Oryzias latipes: one gene and its partner. The protein of the gene in region 1 interacts with the protein of each later gene in a pairwise test. Links are inferred from orthologs where the notes say so. Each region holds a gene or a part of one and is shown on either strand. Other genes may lie near its edges.

The links.
Region 2: the proteins of pex6 (region 1) and pex26 come close enough for resonance energy transfer, tested with the Homo sapiens proteins (2 studies listed by BioGRID). The link is inferred for Oryzias latipes from reciprocal best matches to the Homo sapiens genes PEX6 and PEX26.

What each region holds. Positions count from the first base shown.
Region 1 is NC_019859.2:8,881,420-8,889,524, forward strand, and holds the start of pex6 (peroxisome biogenesis factor 6), read left to right. Parts: upstream 1-3,604; 5' UTR 3,605-3,639; coding exon 3,640-4,152; intron 4,153-4,379; coding exon 4,380-4,967; intron 4,968-5,297; coding exon 5,298-5,467; intron 5,468-5,555; coding exon 5,556-5,639; intron 5,640-5,743; coding exon 5,744-5,861; intron 5,862-6,710; coding exon 6,711-6,844; intron 6,845-6,942; coding exon 6,943-7,048; intron 7,049-7,115; coding exon 7,116-7,315; intron 7,316-7,499; coding exon 7,500-7,686; intron 7,687-8,105. Other genes in the region: ttbk1 (tau-tubulin kinase 1), read left to right, coding at 1-316, 406-814. UniProt on the Homo sapiens protein: Component of the PEX1-PEX6 AAA ATPase complex, a protein dislocase complex that mediates the ATP-dependent extraction of the PEX5 receptor from peroxisomal membranes, an essential step for PEX5 recycling.
Region 2 is NC_019881.2:17,755,120-17,763,016, reverse strand, and holds pex26 (peroxisome assembly protein 26), read left to right. Parts: upstream 1-2,652; 5' UTR 2,653-2,788; coding exon 2,789-2,988; intron 2,989-3,755; coding exon 3,756-3,896; intron 3,897-4,212; coding exon 4,213-4,535; intron 4,536-4,622; coding exon 4,623-4,763; intron 4,764-4,865; coding exon 4,866-4,972; 3' UTR 4,973-5,368; downstream 5,369-7,897. Other genes in the region: hematopoietic lineage cell-specific protein, read left to right, coding at 351-419, 495-628; llph (protein LLP homolog), read right to left, coding at 1,267-1,430, 1,857-2,073; ubl carboxyl-terminal hydrolase 18, read left to right, coding at 6,542-6,593, 7,102-7,198, 7,442-7,584, 7,654-7,733, 7,811-7,897. UniProt on the Homo sapiens protein: Peroxisomal docking factor that anchors PEX1 and PEX6 to peroxisome membranes. PEX26 is therefore required for the formation of the PEX1-PEX6 AAA ATPase complex, a complex that mediates the extraction of the PEX5 receptor from peroxisomal membrane.

The sequences.
Region 1 (8,105 bases):
AGAATCGCTGGACGAGGAGAAGGATGCAGTCTGGAACATCATCGTCCTTGTCCTCTGGGGAGGATGAGCGCCGGAGGGCGTCGGAAACTTTATCCACCGCTGGGTCAGAGGAGGATATCCATACCTCGGATGAGTCCAGAAAGAGCATCCGTCTCCAACCGACTGAAGAGCAGGGCTCCAAGGAGTGCAGGAGCAGGATTCCCAGGCCTATGACTCCCATAAAAAGACCCTCAGGGGGGTTTGCTTCTGCTACTCCTTCACCTTTGTCCATGTCAGACAACAGCCGTACCAAAGGAGCATCACCCGTCATTAATGGGTGGGCTTTCTCTCTTTCATATTTATATATATAATTTAACTTTGAAGAGTTTAATTTTGTCTCAGATAATTTTTTTTTCTTGTCCACAGAAACCAGAAAATTGGATTGAGCACTCTCGCCACACAACCGAAATCTAAGCCCATCGCCACCAGATCCTCATCCTCGTGTCCCCGTCCATCAACAGACTCTGTCCCACCTGGCAGTCCTCGAATGCCCCTACGTGTTCTGGTTGGAACCCGACGCAGCCTTAGTTCAACCCATTGCAGGACTGACAGCCCCTCTCCTCAAAGAGCATGCCCAACCAGGCAGCCCCTTTCAGTTCGAGCCCCAACTGTCCCCATGCTACCACCCAGGACTACATCAACAATGCGGCGCAGCGCCTCCCAGGAAGCAACTACTCAATCCTCTACGTCCATGCCCACCAGGACCAGGCCAAAACCACCGGCTGTAACTAAAGGGAAACTGAACACCAGGGAAAAAGTGGTACCTGCTAGATAATACAAAGAGTCTCATATCTGAAACGTGTATAATCAGTTACTGGACAAGCTACGCCTCAAGACTTTTCACCTGATTCCATGATAAACTGTGATGCCACAACAATGTTTTTCAATTAATTTATTGTACACAAACATATTTTCTCTGTCGAAGGACTGCAAATATTACTGTCTTAATGGGCTTCCAGTCATCCTGATTAACTGTGCAGGAGTGTTGCTGCAATGGTGCTACAGATATGTCTGCTGCTCCCTGGTCAATCCCTGGTTTAACTGCTTCCGCCAGCTGAAAGTCTTGGCCTCCAACAAGTCCTTTTTCCAGATAAAGCACCTAGCACTGTACTCTTTACACAGCTCTTTTCCACTTCTATCAACGTTACTCTGCTTGGTTCACACTGCATGGTAATGTAATAAAAAAAAAAATTAAACAGACTACAAAATTAAATTATTTGATGTGTTTTTCCCTGCTGATTGGCCGTCAAAAGATTTGATTCGTCTGAATGCCCAACTATATTATTAAGACGTTACCAGCTGCATCCTTTACAGCCTTGGATTTAGAGAAGAGTATAATATGAAAAGTGAATATACTGCTCAGCCACTTGCCTCCTCCTCATGGTGTCAGTGGGCATGCTTTAATCCTTATTTTGTTAATGCTTTGAATTGTACATACCTGAATCCTTTCCCATAAAGACATCTTTATTTTTGAACTTCCCAAGCAAACTGTAAATCGAGTCTGTAGTTTCTTTTTTTCTTTTGATGTATTGGCCCGATGCCTTTCTCTTCTTCTTTTGTACGCATGATAAAAAACAGGGTTAACCATGAAAGGAAATGATACCTGCTTGGATCTGATGCAAAGTTATGCTTTATCCTAGTATGGCGTCCCTGAGCATTGAGCTGTGAAGTAAAGTCTTGGTCCTATATTGAAGTACCCTGTCATTATTTCATTTTATTTATTTTTTTATTAAAAAAAAAATCCCAGGATCTTTTGACTTAAAGCTTTGACTTCATTTGGGTTACTTGATGTCAAAATTAACTGGAGCCAGATTACTTCACCAATTAGCCAAAAATAAAGACAGAAATAAACTTCAGCTCAGTTTGTAAAAAAAAACAAAAAAAGGACTTTGAAGCTTTGTCATAGACTTGCTTTTTAAAATATCCAAAAGGCTTTAGTTGGTTAATAAATAAATATCTCTTTTTACTCTGAAGGGTTGCCTTCAACTACAGAGAGATCACACTCTACAACCTGAGCAGGAGCTTGGTTTTTGTTGCTAGTTGAACCTGTTCCACTGCATGTTGGACTCTAGCATGGATATAATTTGTCACAGGAGGGAGTCTGGTTTGAAGGCAGGATTTCATCTCTGCTGTTTGCAAATGATTTTATTCTGTTTGCTTCAATCAACCTGGACCTTCAATGTGCACTGGGACAGTTGAAGTGGCTTTGGCACCTTTTTATGTTACATATCTAGAAAGGTATTTGATGTCTCATCATTGGGAGTCCCTGGGGAAGAGGACACAATGGAAGTACAATGGCTCTTAGTTGGCCCAACAGAACTGGAGGTGGTTTCTGTGGAGAGGGAAGTTAGAAAGAAAGTTGATGGATAAATCTATGCTTGCCATGTTCGGCGCTATTTTACTTATTTTGATTTTCAAATCAAATGGATTAAATGCAAACAGAAGATCTTTGTGGAAATATTAACGTAATTTGCACTAAACCGTTTTTCCCCTCTCATTTGTTGAAAATTTGTTTTTATGATCTTGTGCAGGAAACCAAAAACAACTCTTTGGTGAAGGATATAAAGGATGGTGTTGAACCACAGCCAAAATTAAAAACATGCAAATGCCAACATTTTCTTATAACAACATTTAAATGTCATTTTTTTCTTTATATAAAATAGTTTTTGATTTTGTAGAAGCACCTTTTTAAATTAGATCTTAAAATCAATGTTGGTCATTTTCATTTCCTTAAATGTTAGAAAAACAAACTAAAAAGGCACTTGCTATGAATACAAAAAAATAAATAAATATATAAATAAAAAATCACAATACCAAAACTTTTTTCAAAACTTCAAACTTCAAATAATGTATATACAATTGCCAACAGTTGCCTGAATGCCGGCATGACAAGCAAAGAGCTCTGCGGCAGAGCTAGTAGTAGCCTAGCAGGAGCTATCGTATGAAAAAGCAGCCTAGGTATAAATCTTATGATATTTTTCTTATATTCATTGAGACAATATTAAAGTGATCATTTTTGTTTTTTATGTTCCTTTTTGAACAAATGTGGGTCACAGAGACACTGAAGTTACCGCTGAAAGCAGCTTTTGCGGCCGTACGGAGAGCATATCCGTGTGAATGACTTATGACGTGAATAATTATGGCGTTCGAATGGATAAATTATTGCGTTTGAACGAATTAATTATTGCGTTCGCATGAGTTAATCATTTTGAGGGAACGGAATAGTATTTCGAGGGAACGCAATAGTATCTTGTGGGAACGGCATATTTTGTGCGAACGAGATATTAATATGTGGGAACAAGATATTAATCTGTGGGAACAAGATATATTTTAATATCTCAATGTCAGGACACGGGCTCCGTATAAGACAATCTCCCTTTAATTTATTTCATGGTTACGTTTAAAAATAAGAACATAAAAATGTATATACTATTTCAATAAATGATTTTTGTTTAATTGAAGTATAATCATCAATAATAAAACAAATATTAGTGAGTCTGGTTTATTTACAAAAAGTTTGCAGTTCACTGGTTCTTCCGTTGGGTGGCAGTAACGTGGTGCGCAGACAGGGTGCGCATTAGGTGCAGAAGAAGAGCGAGTATGGCGCTGGAGGTGAAGTTGTGTTGTTTGGAGGAATTCCCCTCGCACCTGAGTCCTCTAGAGGCTCTGCTCCTTCCAACTCACTTGGAATCAGTTTTTCAAAATGCCACCGACCCTCCGACGGTCCTCTTCATGGCGCAGCAGCCTCAGCTCCGCGGGCGAACGGGCATTCTGCTGCGGGTTCATGCCACTACCGAGGAGGAGGTGTCGGGCTGTGGTGGCGCGAGCCTCCCCGCAGGCAGCGGAGAGCCGGTCCTCCGGCTATTCACCAGCCGTTTCTTTCTGCGGCACCACCGGCTCAAAGGAACCGGCTTCATTCGACCCATGGAGCCTGTCAGCCTGGACCGAGTGGTGCTGGGCGCCCGCAGCAAGCAGAGCCTCTGCTGGGCCGGAGCCAAGCAGTTCTCCGCCGGGCTGACGGAGCTCTGCCAACGGGGAGAGTGGCTGCTTTCCCGGCAGGGAGACCCGCTGCTGCTCCCCCAACACCCGCTGCTCGGAGAAGACCCGGTTCAGGTGAGCAGCTTTATCCAACAAATGCCAGTCTTCTCTAAGTTGACTCTCATATCCAGTTGGTCTTCAAGTTACAACTAGCAGCTAAAAATATAGCGAAATGATTTTTCAATTTAATCCATTCAGACTTTATGAAACATTTTCAGCTTCTTTGTGTAGTTTTTGTTCTTCCAGCAGCCATACTTGTTTTAAATTCGAAGTGTCTTCTCCTCTTCCTCCTCCGGATGAAGGGGCAGCAGCAGCAGCTGATGATGGAGCTGCTGGTGTTGGACTGCAGTCCTGTCACTCAGGGGAGGATCACAGCCAGCACCGCTTTGGTCCTGACAGATTTCTGGGACCCAGTGGACCCCCCGGTGGACCCCGGCCCCTGCGGACCCCTCGGACTGTGCGTGTCAGACTTTGCTCGTTACGCAGACAGCCTGGGAGGAGGCAGATCTCTCCTGGACAGCAGGGAGGTGTTGAGCTCGGGTTTGTCAGACGCCCTGCGGGCGATGGAGTGCAGGCTGGATGTCCGGGTGGTGGACACTCGGCGGCGGTGGTGGGGGGCAGATGTGGACGGCTGTGTTTTCCTGAGCAAGCATCTGCTGCTGCGACTCGGTCTGTTCAACCACCAGTGGGTGAAGCTGGGGAGGCCGGACGGTGAGGATGGGGGAACAGATGCCTGCAGAGACCGGGTGGTGTCTGTGGTGGTGGTGGATCTCTCGCTCTGCCCGGAGTTGCAGCCCCACGGGGATGCAGCCTTCATCTCTGCGACTCTGTGGTTCAACATGACGGATGGAGAGGAGGTTCCTGTGAATGGCTGCAGGCTAACGATGAAGGTGCAGATTCTTCTTCTGATGCTTTTCTGTTTGCTGGAAGTTCTGTTATAGACCCACTCTGATCATCTTTTAAACGATTGCAAAAGCGTTCCCAGTTGTCTTTTAATTATGATTATACCAAATAAAAATAAAAATCTGTGTTGCTATCTAGGATGTAGTTTCCGGAGAGCGGCAGAAATGGCATTCTGAGCTTAATTTTCCTCAAATATGTCCTCCATTATCAGAAAAATTCTACAAGAATAAGTTAAAATGCCAAAAGCATGATTGTCATGGAAGTGGGTCATCAGAGATGAGGTTGTTTTGTGAAAATCTGTCCTGTTCCTGTTTCAGAGGTGGAGTCCGTCGCCTGCAGAACCCGACCTTCGTCGCTCGGACAGCTCCTGCCGCTCAGCTTCTCTACCCATTGCTGGCGAGCTTCACATTCAGCCCGTCGTCTGTCCGTCGTACAAAAACCTGAGCTGCTGTGACGAGCTGCTGGCCGAACATTTCAGCACTCCCAGGTGAGCTCGGCTCGCCAAGCCCGTTTCTGTTTAGGGAAACCAACGGTGATGGCGATCTCCTGGTTCAGAGTTTTTGTTTTTTCCTCAGGGTGGTTGCAGAGGGAGACATCCTGAGCGTTCCCACTGAAAACCATCCGGACCTGCTGGAAAACAGCTTGGAGGGGATCCACAGGTAAAGCAGGCCTCTGCACGTGTGAGCTGAGGAGGAAAAATAAAACCTGCCTCACATTTGTTTACTCTTTGTCTTCTAAATAAACAGTAAATGATTTCTGTCAGGAGCCCAGCGCTTTTCTTCAGAGTGCAGAAAGTGAAGCCTCTTTTAAATGGAGGAGGAGGAGGAGGGGGAGGAGGAGGTGCATACCTGGCTGACAGAACACACACTTCCCTCTTTATGGTGTGTTCTTTTTCTTTTCTTGCATCTTTAATCATTTTTTACCATGAATGACGTTTTTGTGGTTCAAGTTAATCATTGTTAACAGTATCTACCTCGAATTTATGACAACTTGAGACACAAACGGAACTATTTCTATAAAAAAAATACACATTTAGCGTAGAGGACAATATTGGGTGTTTGCCATTTTGTTCAATTACAATTCCAAAAATTGGGTGCCCTGGAGATTTCCCAGAAGTCTCTGCAAGATACAGTGTTCATCAATGCTCACTAGATAGGAGAATATAGACCACAATGCATTGCATTTGAATGATTGGTACTTTATTGATCCCACAATGGGGAAATTCTTCTCCGCATTTGACCCATCCCCTGGGGGAGCGGTGAGCTGCAGCCTAACTGCGCTCGGGAGGCAGTAGCGCTAAGGGCCTTGCCTAAGGACCCTCACTGGGTGATGTTCATTGCTCAATTGATATGGTAATTGACTCAGTACCATTGTTTATTCCCCTCCGGGAATCGAACCCTGGATTCCTGCGTGGTAGCCTCTCACCTTACCAAGTAAAATAAAAACAATGCGGAATGATTGGACATTCAATGATTGGGCATTATAAAAAAATATGATTTTATTTTACAAATGTTCCAGGTTTTCATCATCAGAACACAGTGGATTCATAAATAGTCTTTGACAAATGTTCATATATTTTAGGTTTTTACTTCGGGAAATCTGTGACGTCATATTTGGAGTTTAAAAAAAAGAAAGAAAGGAGTGAGGATGTGTCTGAATAGCTTGAAAATTCAGGGTATTTGGTTGATCCACATTGTTTTTATTTTACTCCAAGGTGTTTGTCTCTTTAGGGGGCGTCCACCAACAGCCCGGTACCGTGCCTCTCTGCAGACTCTGCCTCTCTGTGGAGCAGCTTATCTCCACCGGGACTACACAGAACCGTGGACATGCTCAGCAGCATCATCCTGCCTCATCTGCAGCACAGGTAGAAACTCCTCCTTAAAGTTATCCTGCAGTATCACCTGTCTGTAATCTCCAGTGTTGCATTGTGGGAAATGGTTTGATGGCATATTTTGGTTTTAGGGAGTTTCTGCCTCGATGCACCGTCCTGCTCCACGGCCCTGCAGGGAGCGGGAAGATGACGGTGGTCAGAGCGGCGAGCTGCAGACTCCACCTGCACCTGCTGAAGGTGGGGTTTGCACTTGTTTTTATGAGTTTGTGTGCTCAGCAGCTTCAGTTGTCGTGTTGTGTGTTAGGTGGATTGTGTGACGCTATGCGCTGACACTCCTGCTGCCTCTGAGGCCAAGCTGACGTCGGCGTTTCACCGGGCGGAGGTCCTGCAGCCGTGCCTCCTGCTGCTCAGGAACCTGCAGCTGCTGGTTCGACCGCGAGGAGCCGAAGAGGACGGCAGGGTCCAGGCTGCGCTGTGCCAGCTGCTCGACAGCGCCCCCACCAGGTCGGTACCACGCCAACCTGCTGTTTTATTTGAACAATGCATCTAATACTCTCCTGTAAACTTTCAAAGGTTTTGCAGTTTTAGCTCTGTAACAACTTTGACCCACCGAAATCGGCTATCAGGCGGTTGGATGCAGCTGATTTTAGGTTTTGCAGAAACGTACATCTCTCTGCTGGTGTTGCAGGGTGGCTGTGGTGGCGACGGTGTCCAGAGCTAGAGATCTTTCTGGTGGTGTCATGGCTGCGTTTGTGCACCGGGTGGAGCTAGAGAGTCTCACGGAGGAGCAGCGGCACGCCATGCTGATCAGCCTGAGCAGACATCTTCACCTGGGGAGAGACGTGAGCCTGGAGAGGCTTTCCAAACTCACGGCTGTGCGTACCGAGGCTGAAAGCAATTTTTACCCAACTACAGAAACTAAAGACTTTCCTCCTAAAGACTTTCCTCCTAATCAGGAGGTTTTTTTTAAAAGTACTGTTTACTTTCATTGAAAGGAGAAGTTGAAAGTTTCTTCTTAAAGACCTACCGTAATTTCCGGACTAAAAGCCGCTATTTTTTTCCTGCGCTTACAGCCCTGCAGCTTATTCAGTGACGCGGCCAATTTGGCGGCCGCCATGTGCGTACTTTCAGGTTTGGTGAATGGTTTGAATTATCCATCTAACATCAAACACAAGTCATTTGTTTTGTAACACACCTCTAAGCAGCCAAACAGCATGGACCTCACTTCAGGTCTTAGACACTTCAGTCATGGTTCAACAAAAAGAAACACGCATGCCCGGCCGCATCCCAGAAT
Region 2 (7,897 bases), on another chromosome or scaffold:
GTGAGGGGTGGGAGGCCGAGAGTGAGCATGGGGGTGAAATGTTATACGTTCGCTTCCTCTCACTCCTTTTGAAACAAATAAACTTTTTATGACAAACTTCACATTTATTGGATTCAGTGTGTCATGTATTGTATCTTTACGGACATATAGGTCTACTTTTGATTAAAACTAATTATACTGGCATTGCTTACATTTGTATGCGGATGTATATAAACGCAGGTGTATTTGTTTTATTTAAAAAAATTTAATTTTAAAGTTAAGTTACAGTTTATCATTGTTTAATATATATGTAGGATTTTTTCTTTTAATTGTTTGAAATAATCCATAATAATCTTTTTTTTTTTAAACAGAAGTTGAGAACGAATATGAAGACTTGTCTCATGGCCAAAAGGCGATTGCGATTTATGACTATCAGGGAGGTATGTTGATTCACTTCAAGACATAAAGTGCTATGATCTGTTCACAAATGTGTTGTTACATGTCTGTTTCCACAGAGGCAGAAGATGAGATTTCCTTCAATCCAGATGACATTATCACTAACATAGAGATGATCGACGAAGGCTGGTGGAAGGGACAGTGTCACGGTCACTTCGGCTTGTTTCCCGCCTCTTACGTTCAGCTGATTTAAACTTTGTTTTTTTGCACACTCAAACGCTGACTCCTTGTACGGATATGAAGAAATCAGGCAACTATGTACCAATGCACCAAATCAATCCTCATAATGTATCCAACTAGAAATGAGTACATCTGTCCATCTATATATTGCAGTTCTCCTTTCACAATCTTTCTGTTAAGCAGATTTTTTCCAGTACAATTGTGCATCATGCCTTTCTTTTTTAACACTGATTTATCCCTAAAACATCTGTAATCCTATACTTCATTTTACCTATTGCGGGTTATTCTTAGAAGGTAGCCCCGACGATAAACGAGGGACCACTGTAACTCCAAAATCTGAAATGATCCAAATAAAGAAAACTGAGCACTTTCTACACAAGTTGTTTTATGGTATTTATTGTTTGCATTAATATTTGACACAATTTAGGAAGTAGACAAGCAGAAAATACTGTTCATCCTCTTATAGGAACCACTGTGAACGTAAATCATACTGTTTTTACATAGGAACACATTTCTCAAAAATAAAAAGGTTCCTATTGGAATATGGTGGAGCAACAGTTCTGACAGTCCACTAAAGAAGTCACAGCAGCAGAAAGTTTGTATCTGACACGGCAATTTAGTATCAAAAGTCTTTGAATCAGTTACTCCATTTCACCAGGCAATTCCCTTCTTCTTCTTGCCCTTTCCACTTTTCTTTGTCATGCGTTTATCTTTCAGTTTCTTGATCTGGCGTTGGTTCATCCACACAGGGTACCGTCCGTCTTCATCCAAAAGGGTTTTCTTGTTGCGCTTCTTATCTGTGTCCATCTTCAATCCTAAGGACAGAAATGCAGAGATGAGCTGTGTACAACAAAAACGAAAGCACTAAGGCATGCCAACTTTAAACACCCACATTTTTTTAATCTATTTTCAACGCGTTCCCAGTGGTCTTTTATTTATGATTGTCGTTTATAGCCAAAACATCAAAACTGCTTTCTAGTACATAGTTTCTGCAGAGTGGCAGTCGTTCATTAGAAAGTGACCTCCGAGTTGTAGGTGGAATAACTGGCCCCCTTTTCCCTCCCCATTGCTGAGAGCTCTCTGTTTACATACTCTACTGCTAGCTTACAGCCCCTCACACTCCCTTTGAGTCACATGCCAGCTCAGACGAGCAAAACAAAAATGTTCATGGATGTACTAGTCGTCTTTAAGTGGATGGAAACTTGTGGCCACACTTAAAGAACAGAAATCAATCCACTCACCTTCAGCCGCGTCCTCTGCCATGTCAACATCTGTCTGCTTCTTTATCTTATCAGGAGACACCACAGTAGCAATCTCCTCCAGGTCAGCCATGTCCACCTCTCCTTTTTTGTCATTACTCAGAGCTTGTTTAAGTCGAGCCAGCTCCTTTGGGGCATTTTTCTTCCTCTTCTCCGCTCGCATCTTACGCTTCCATTTGCTTCTGAGGCTTTTAGCCATGTTTACTAACTATTTCTAAAAGGAAAAAGAAAATACTTGGTAAATACAAACATTGTGGAGAACTTTAATTTTTTCTTGTAGCCTATCCTTGCATGATTTAATATAACATCTGAAACTTCATAAAACATAGAAGCTGGATTATGATGAGGTTAAAGAAAACAGGCACATCTAAATAAGTTATTGTCACAAAATGCTTTTAACTAGTTTAAAATCAAGATTTTGTTAAACGGTTAAAGTAGTTGTTTGTTAGCTTGCTGGATTGCTAACACGGTAAGCAGCTAATACTAGCTAACAGCTAAAACACAACGTTTTTTCTCTTCTAAATTACCAAAACGCATAACTTTTTTACGCATAAAAGGTAATACAGTTGTGAACTATATTCTGTACACTAAGGGCAAAATCAAAAAGACATCAAATTGTGAAAAATACCTGAAGTTTTTATAGTAGCGACATAAACACAGCACGTGTTTACAGGAATGGCTTGGAAAAAACGACTTGCACTAAGCTGCCATCTGATTGGCTCATTTTACCACTTTGAAGAAACTAGTGTCCGATTGGCCAATTTTTCAAACCCGGAAGTTCAACGAGATTTGTGGATTGTAAACAAACGGCGTGAGCGTCCATTTCCCTCACTAATCGTAGATTTACTTTAGTCAGGTCGAAGGATAAAAATAATTTGAAGGTTTTGCGGGGTTCACACATTTTTCTGGGAGTCATGAGCAGCTGCTCAAGCAGACAGACGCCTTGCAGCTTCGGTTCCGTTAGCAGTTCCCCTCCGCCGTCCTCTGCTGCACTACAGATGATAAACATGCTCGACTCTGCAGCAGAGCAGATGATGGTCTACAGAGACTTCCAGGCTGTTTTTGATACGTGCCAGAGAGGTCTGGAAAAGCTCGCTGGCACGGAGGACAACAGGTGACCCTCATTTAACGAGAAAATTAAGATGGAAAAAGTTACAACTGAAATTTATTTAAAGTAGTACACTTGAAGCTTATTTTTTAAGAATACTTGAGTATAAGTTTAGAAAGTATTCTATAGACCATGCAAGTGTTGTGTTGGAAGACTAAATTGGAACATTTTAAGTTTATAATATATAGATAGTTAAAAAAAAGTACATTTAAAGTATACTGCCTCGCCTTTAATTATATAGACTTAGTATACTTGTAGTACATTCAAATAGCCTACTCAATGGTAAGGGTTATTTTTGGTGCACTTTTTTATGTGTCACAAAGCAAAGGAAACGTTTAATTAAAACACAAGATGTAAGTATAATGGGTTCCTAAAGCTTTAAAGATTATGGGGAAAAAAGTTTTTCTCCTGATAAAGGTTTGGGGTCATTTGTTGGACATTTGACTCCTTCAGGGAAAGAGAAGCCAGTGGCGTGATTATGGGATTTAATATTTTCTGCTGCTCACGATGATTGTGATTGCACAGTTCTAGTTGTATTATAGTTCTTGGAGGCTCCTGCTGAGGATCCCCATGAAGAGAAGGCTGCAGTAGTTCAGTTTGGAGGAAACAAAGGTTTTATCCAGATTTTCTTCATTAGGCAGGCAGGATGAGATGTTTTTAAAGTCCCACTCTGATCATCGTTTGATTTAAACCACAAAAAACACAGTTTTCAACAGAACCTTACGGGGTATTTCTGATTTCTTTTTTTCTTTCCTTTTTTTTTGACTTTGCAGATGTACAGAGTTGAAGACTGGTTTCTGCATCTTGGGGATTCAGGCGCTGGCTGAGCTGAATCGCTGGCACGGAGTCCTCGCCTGGGTTCTGCAGCAGTATGAGCGCCAGGAAGACATACCAGCAAAAATAATGCAGATGTGGTAAGAAATAATAAGAAATACATTAGGTCAAGGAAAAAAGGAATTTAATCTCCTATGTAGTGTTTATAGCATCCTAAATTAGAGCTACATCATTTTTGTTGCATTGAAGCTGCATAGATACCATATATCACACAAAATTGTGCTTTTAATGTCTATTTTAACCTTTGTTTTGTAAAGTGTCTTTGGGTTTCTTCAAAGGCGCTTTAAATAAAATGGATTATTATTCTAATTATTAAATGCTAATAAAAGACAGAGATGGAAGAAAAAATATTTTTGATAAGAGACTAATTGCTCTCCATCCGTTCTTTTTCTGCAGCATACTTCTGTACTCCAAGGTGGGTGAAGCTGCTGAGATGCAGGAAGCAGCCAGTGTTTGGTTAAACTGTCCATCAAATTGCGGATCTGCTGGTTTCCGGACAGTTGCAGAGTTGTATCTTCTACACATACTTGTGCCTCTCGGACATTTTGAGGAAGCTCGGGAGTTTATTGCAGGTGAGGTTGGTGGCATCGCCTTTGCGGAGCGGAAACAGGCAGCACTAAATATTGTGGAAGAAAAAGCACAACAAAGTCGAGAAGCAGCTCTGCGCTCTGGGATCCATCCAGCTTCTGAGATTTCTGCGCATCCTAACTCAGTTAAAGGTTTGACATTTCAGTCATATCAATGTGCATTGTGCTCAATTTCTTGTGCAGAAATAATGACTAGATCTTCCTAATTGTGGTTTGCAGATGCTATAATCCATAAACTCGAAGCTATGCTCAGGTTTTTATACAGAAAAATCTTGACAGCCGGTTCTGGCTTATTCCCTCTCCGGAGACTTTTCCTGATAGCTGTTATCCTCTACATGCTCTTCAGCAGACTGGATCCAGGTTTGAGAAACTCTTCCTCCTCAGTATGTTACTGTTGACTTTTTTATACCCTGTTGATTGGAAATAAATGAATGCCTTTCTTGTTTTTATTTTTTTTTACAGCTGCGCCGTCCTCATTTATGTGGATTTCCAAACTTTGTCAGCTCTTTAAACAGATGTGGAGAACCATGTTTGGACCTTATTATCAGACTCTCAGTCAAAAAGAATAATTGTGGAAACATTTAGTTGAATTGATCTAATTTGATTGTGTTTAATGGAAGGTCTTTACTTTAATTCTGTGTCTCTAACATTTGTTTAATTTCGTTTATAAATTAAAAATAATGATTTTATAGAAGTGCTTTACAAACGAGCAGTTATAGATTCTATTGCTTGATTATTAGTCAACAGCTTATTTAAAAGAGATCCATTGATCATTTAGTTAGAATCTTGAAGTAAAACCCAGGGAGGTGAACAGGAGGTAGACTGTATTTATGTTAAAATGTAGAATTTTGAAAAAACAATAGCTATAATATATTGCAGAGCACTGATTACCTTTTAGGTGTTATATTTTTAATAAAATCTTTATACCTCTAAAATTGTAGCCATAAATAAACTATTAACAATTATTTTCTTGTGTCCATTATTTTTAAGGACCCACTCCAATCATCTTTTGATCTATTTTCAAAGCCCCCCCCCCCCCCCCCCCCCCCCCCGTAATTATTTTTGCCATTTTTAGCCAAAGTAAAAAGGTGGTAGTAGTTCAAGCCTCTGAGTTGTTTGAAGGACTTTTTGGATGCAAGCCTACCCCCATTTCCCATCATCCATATGTTTACATGCTCTCCCACTAGCTAACAGCTCCTCACACCCAAGTGGTAAGGACACCTCCAACCTAACATTAATGGGCTCTGAGCCAGATACCAGCTTGGACAAGGAAAACGAAGACTTGCATGGATTATATTTGTCTGCAAGTGAATGCATCAGGCAGGGATCTTGTAGCCTGCCCATCATATTTTCAATGTTATACGATCTTTTTCAAACTGAATTTTGTTGTCAACTGCAGATTCACAATTTAATTAAAGAAATACTCAGAAATACAATTTTGAGCTTAATTTTCGTTATTTATACTCTGTTATCAGAAAAATGCATCAAGAACAAAAACTTCAAAAGCACCATTTTCATCAGAGTGGGTCCCTTAGGTGAAAATGACAGTGAAAGTGTGATGTTTTGATTTATAAAAGCAAATCCTGGGAGGATCAGAAAATTTCATAAAAAAATATTTATTTTGTAATGTTAAATTAAAAAAAGGCGTTCTTTAGTGAAGTCACGGGGCAATATTTTTTGCTGTTCCAACAGTTTTAAATGGAAATATACCTAAAGCAACAATATTAAGTGCTTAGAGATACGCAATGTTTAAAACGAGTTTTTTTTATAAATAAAGTTCGATTTTATCTGCGCATGTGCAGTAAATCCCATCTTTTTTTATTTTTTTTAACTTATATGTCTCTTAACAGGATGCAGAACACTTAACAGCTGATTTGTGGTTATAGACCTTCCTATAGGATATATGCCACGTTTTACAAATTTGCTTACTTTATAAATGGAGCTGTTAAGTTTCGTTTTACGCGCAGAGGCGGGTTAAACGAAAGCGATGCCGAGGATGATGATGTGATGAAGACTCAGCTGACAGTGCTTTGACTCCAGCAGAAACGTCAATATCACGGAAAAACTCGACAAGAAAGATTTATTCTACCAAAATAACCCGACGCCGGGTTAAACTACTCGACTTCGTTTAAAACGCAATGTCTTATGGGATTTGGAGGATTTTTCCAACGCTGTGGAACACTCAGCTCAGTAAGTTACATTTGTTGTCAACGAAGTTTTTCTTTTTCTTTTCATAAACAAAGTAGTTGAATTTTTATTTAGGATTAAACAAATAAGCAACTTTAAAAAATAAAATTATAATTTGCGCTCAAATTACACCAAAAAGGCTGATTTTACTACATTACTTTTTATAATATACATATATTGTTTTATATATGGTCTGAAGAAGTATTCAGTTAGTATACTTCCTACACTACATGTACATAGTGTATACATGCTATAATCACGTATACTTAATAAAATATACCTCAGGTATACTGCTTTTTAAATGAAACTAAAATAAAATAAAAAACAACCTGAAACTAATAAAAGAAAATCTGAAGAAAAGTAGAAATTTACTCATTAGGTTTTTTTGGGGACCTTTTTACTGCAATCACTAAACCTTCATCCTGTGTGATAAGAAATTCTTTTTTATATTATATTTTATAACATTTTTTATAAACTATCATGTTTAATTTTTGCTGTTCCATTTTTTAAGGAATGAGAGGCCTTGCCAACTACCATTTGTCCTGTTGTGTAAACACTTTGCTGCAGACCTTCTCTGCAACCTGGGAACTACTAGAACTTCTAGAAAGGTAAGTAAAGTAGTTACCATCCATGTGAAATACTAATACCTCAAGCATTGTTTGAAAAATGAAGGTTTTACATCTCATAAGACGTTTCGGTTCCCACGTATTGGTTTGTGGGACTGTTTGACCTCATAAAACCTGCTCAAATATTTGAAAAATGCAGTGGTGTCCACCTGGAAACAAGTCTTTGTTTCTTAGGTGCTAAAAAAACAAACAAACAGATAAATTAGGGCTTGTGAATTTCACAAGGTTGGAACCAGCTGTTGTGAGATCTGACAGTCGGAGCATTCCCCTGGAGCTGAAGAAAGTTCTCACGGCGATGCGGGGCGACCTCACTCAATCTGCTCCACATCGGGACTTCCTCCACTGTCTGGATAGATACTGCATTAGACGTAAAGGCCTCCACACCACATCTCAAAGTGAGATTATTGACGACAGCTTGTAACACAATTGATTTACAGTTGACACACAGCACGATGCTGACGAGGTTTTCCTCTCCATTCTGAACCTGATGCAGCAGCAGATAGATGACAGACATCTGGTTGGTCTTTAACACCCTGCTCATCACTTTTAAAGTTGTGCTATTTCTTCTTTACTGGTTGCTCTTTTGATCCCCAGGCTTTAGAAATCCAGGATTTGTACAAGATTTCAGTGGAGACCCATCTGCAGTGTCTGCAGTGCAACTCCATCAAAACCCTGGAAAGC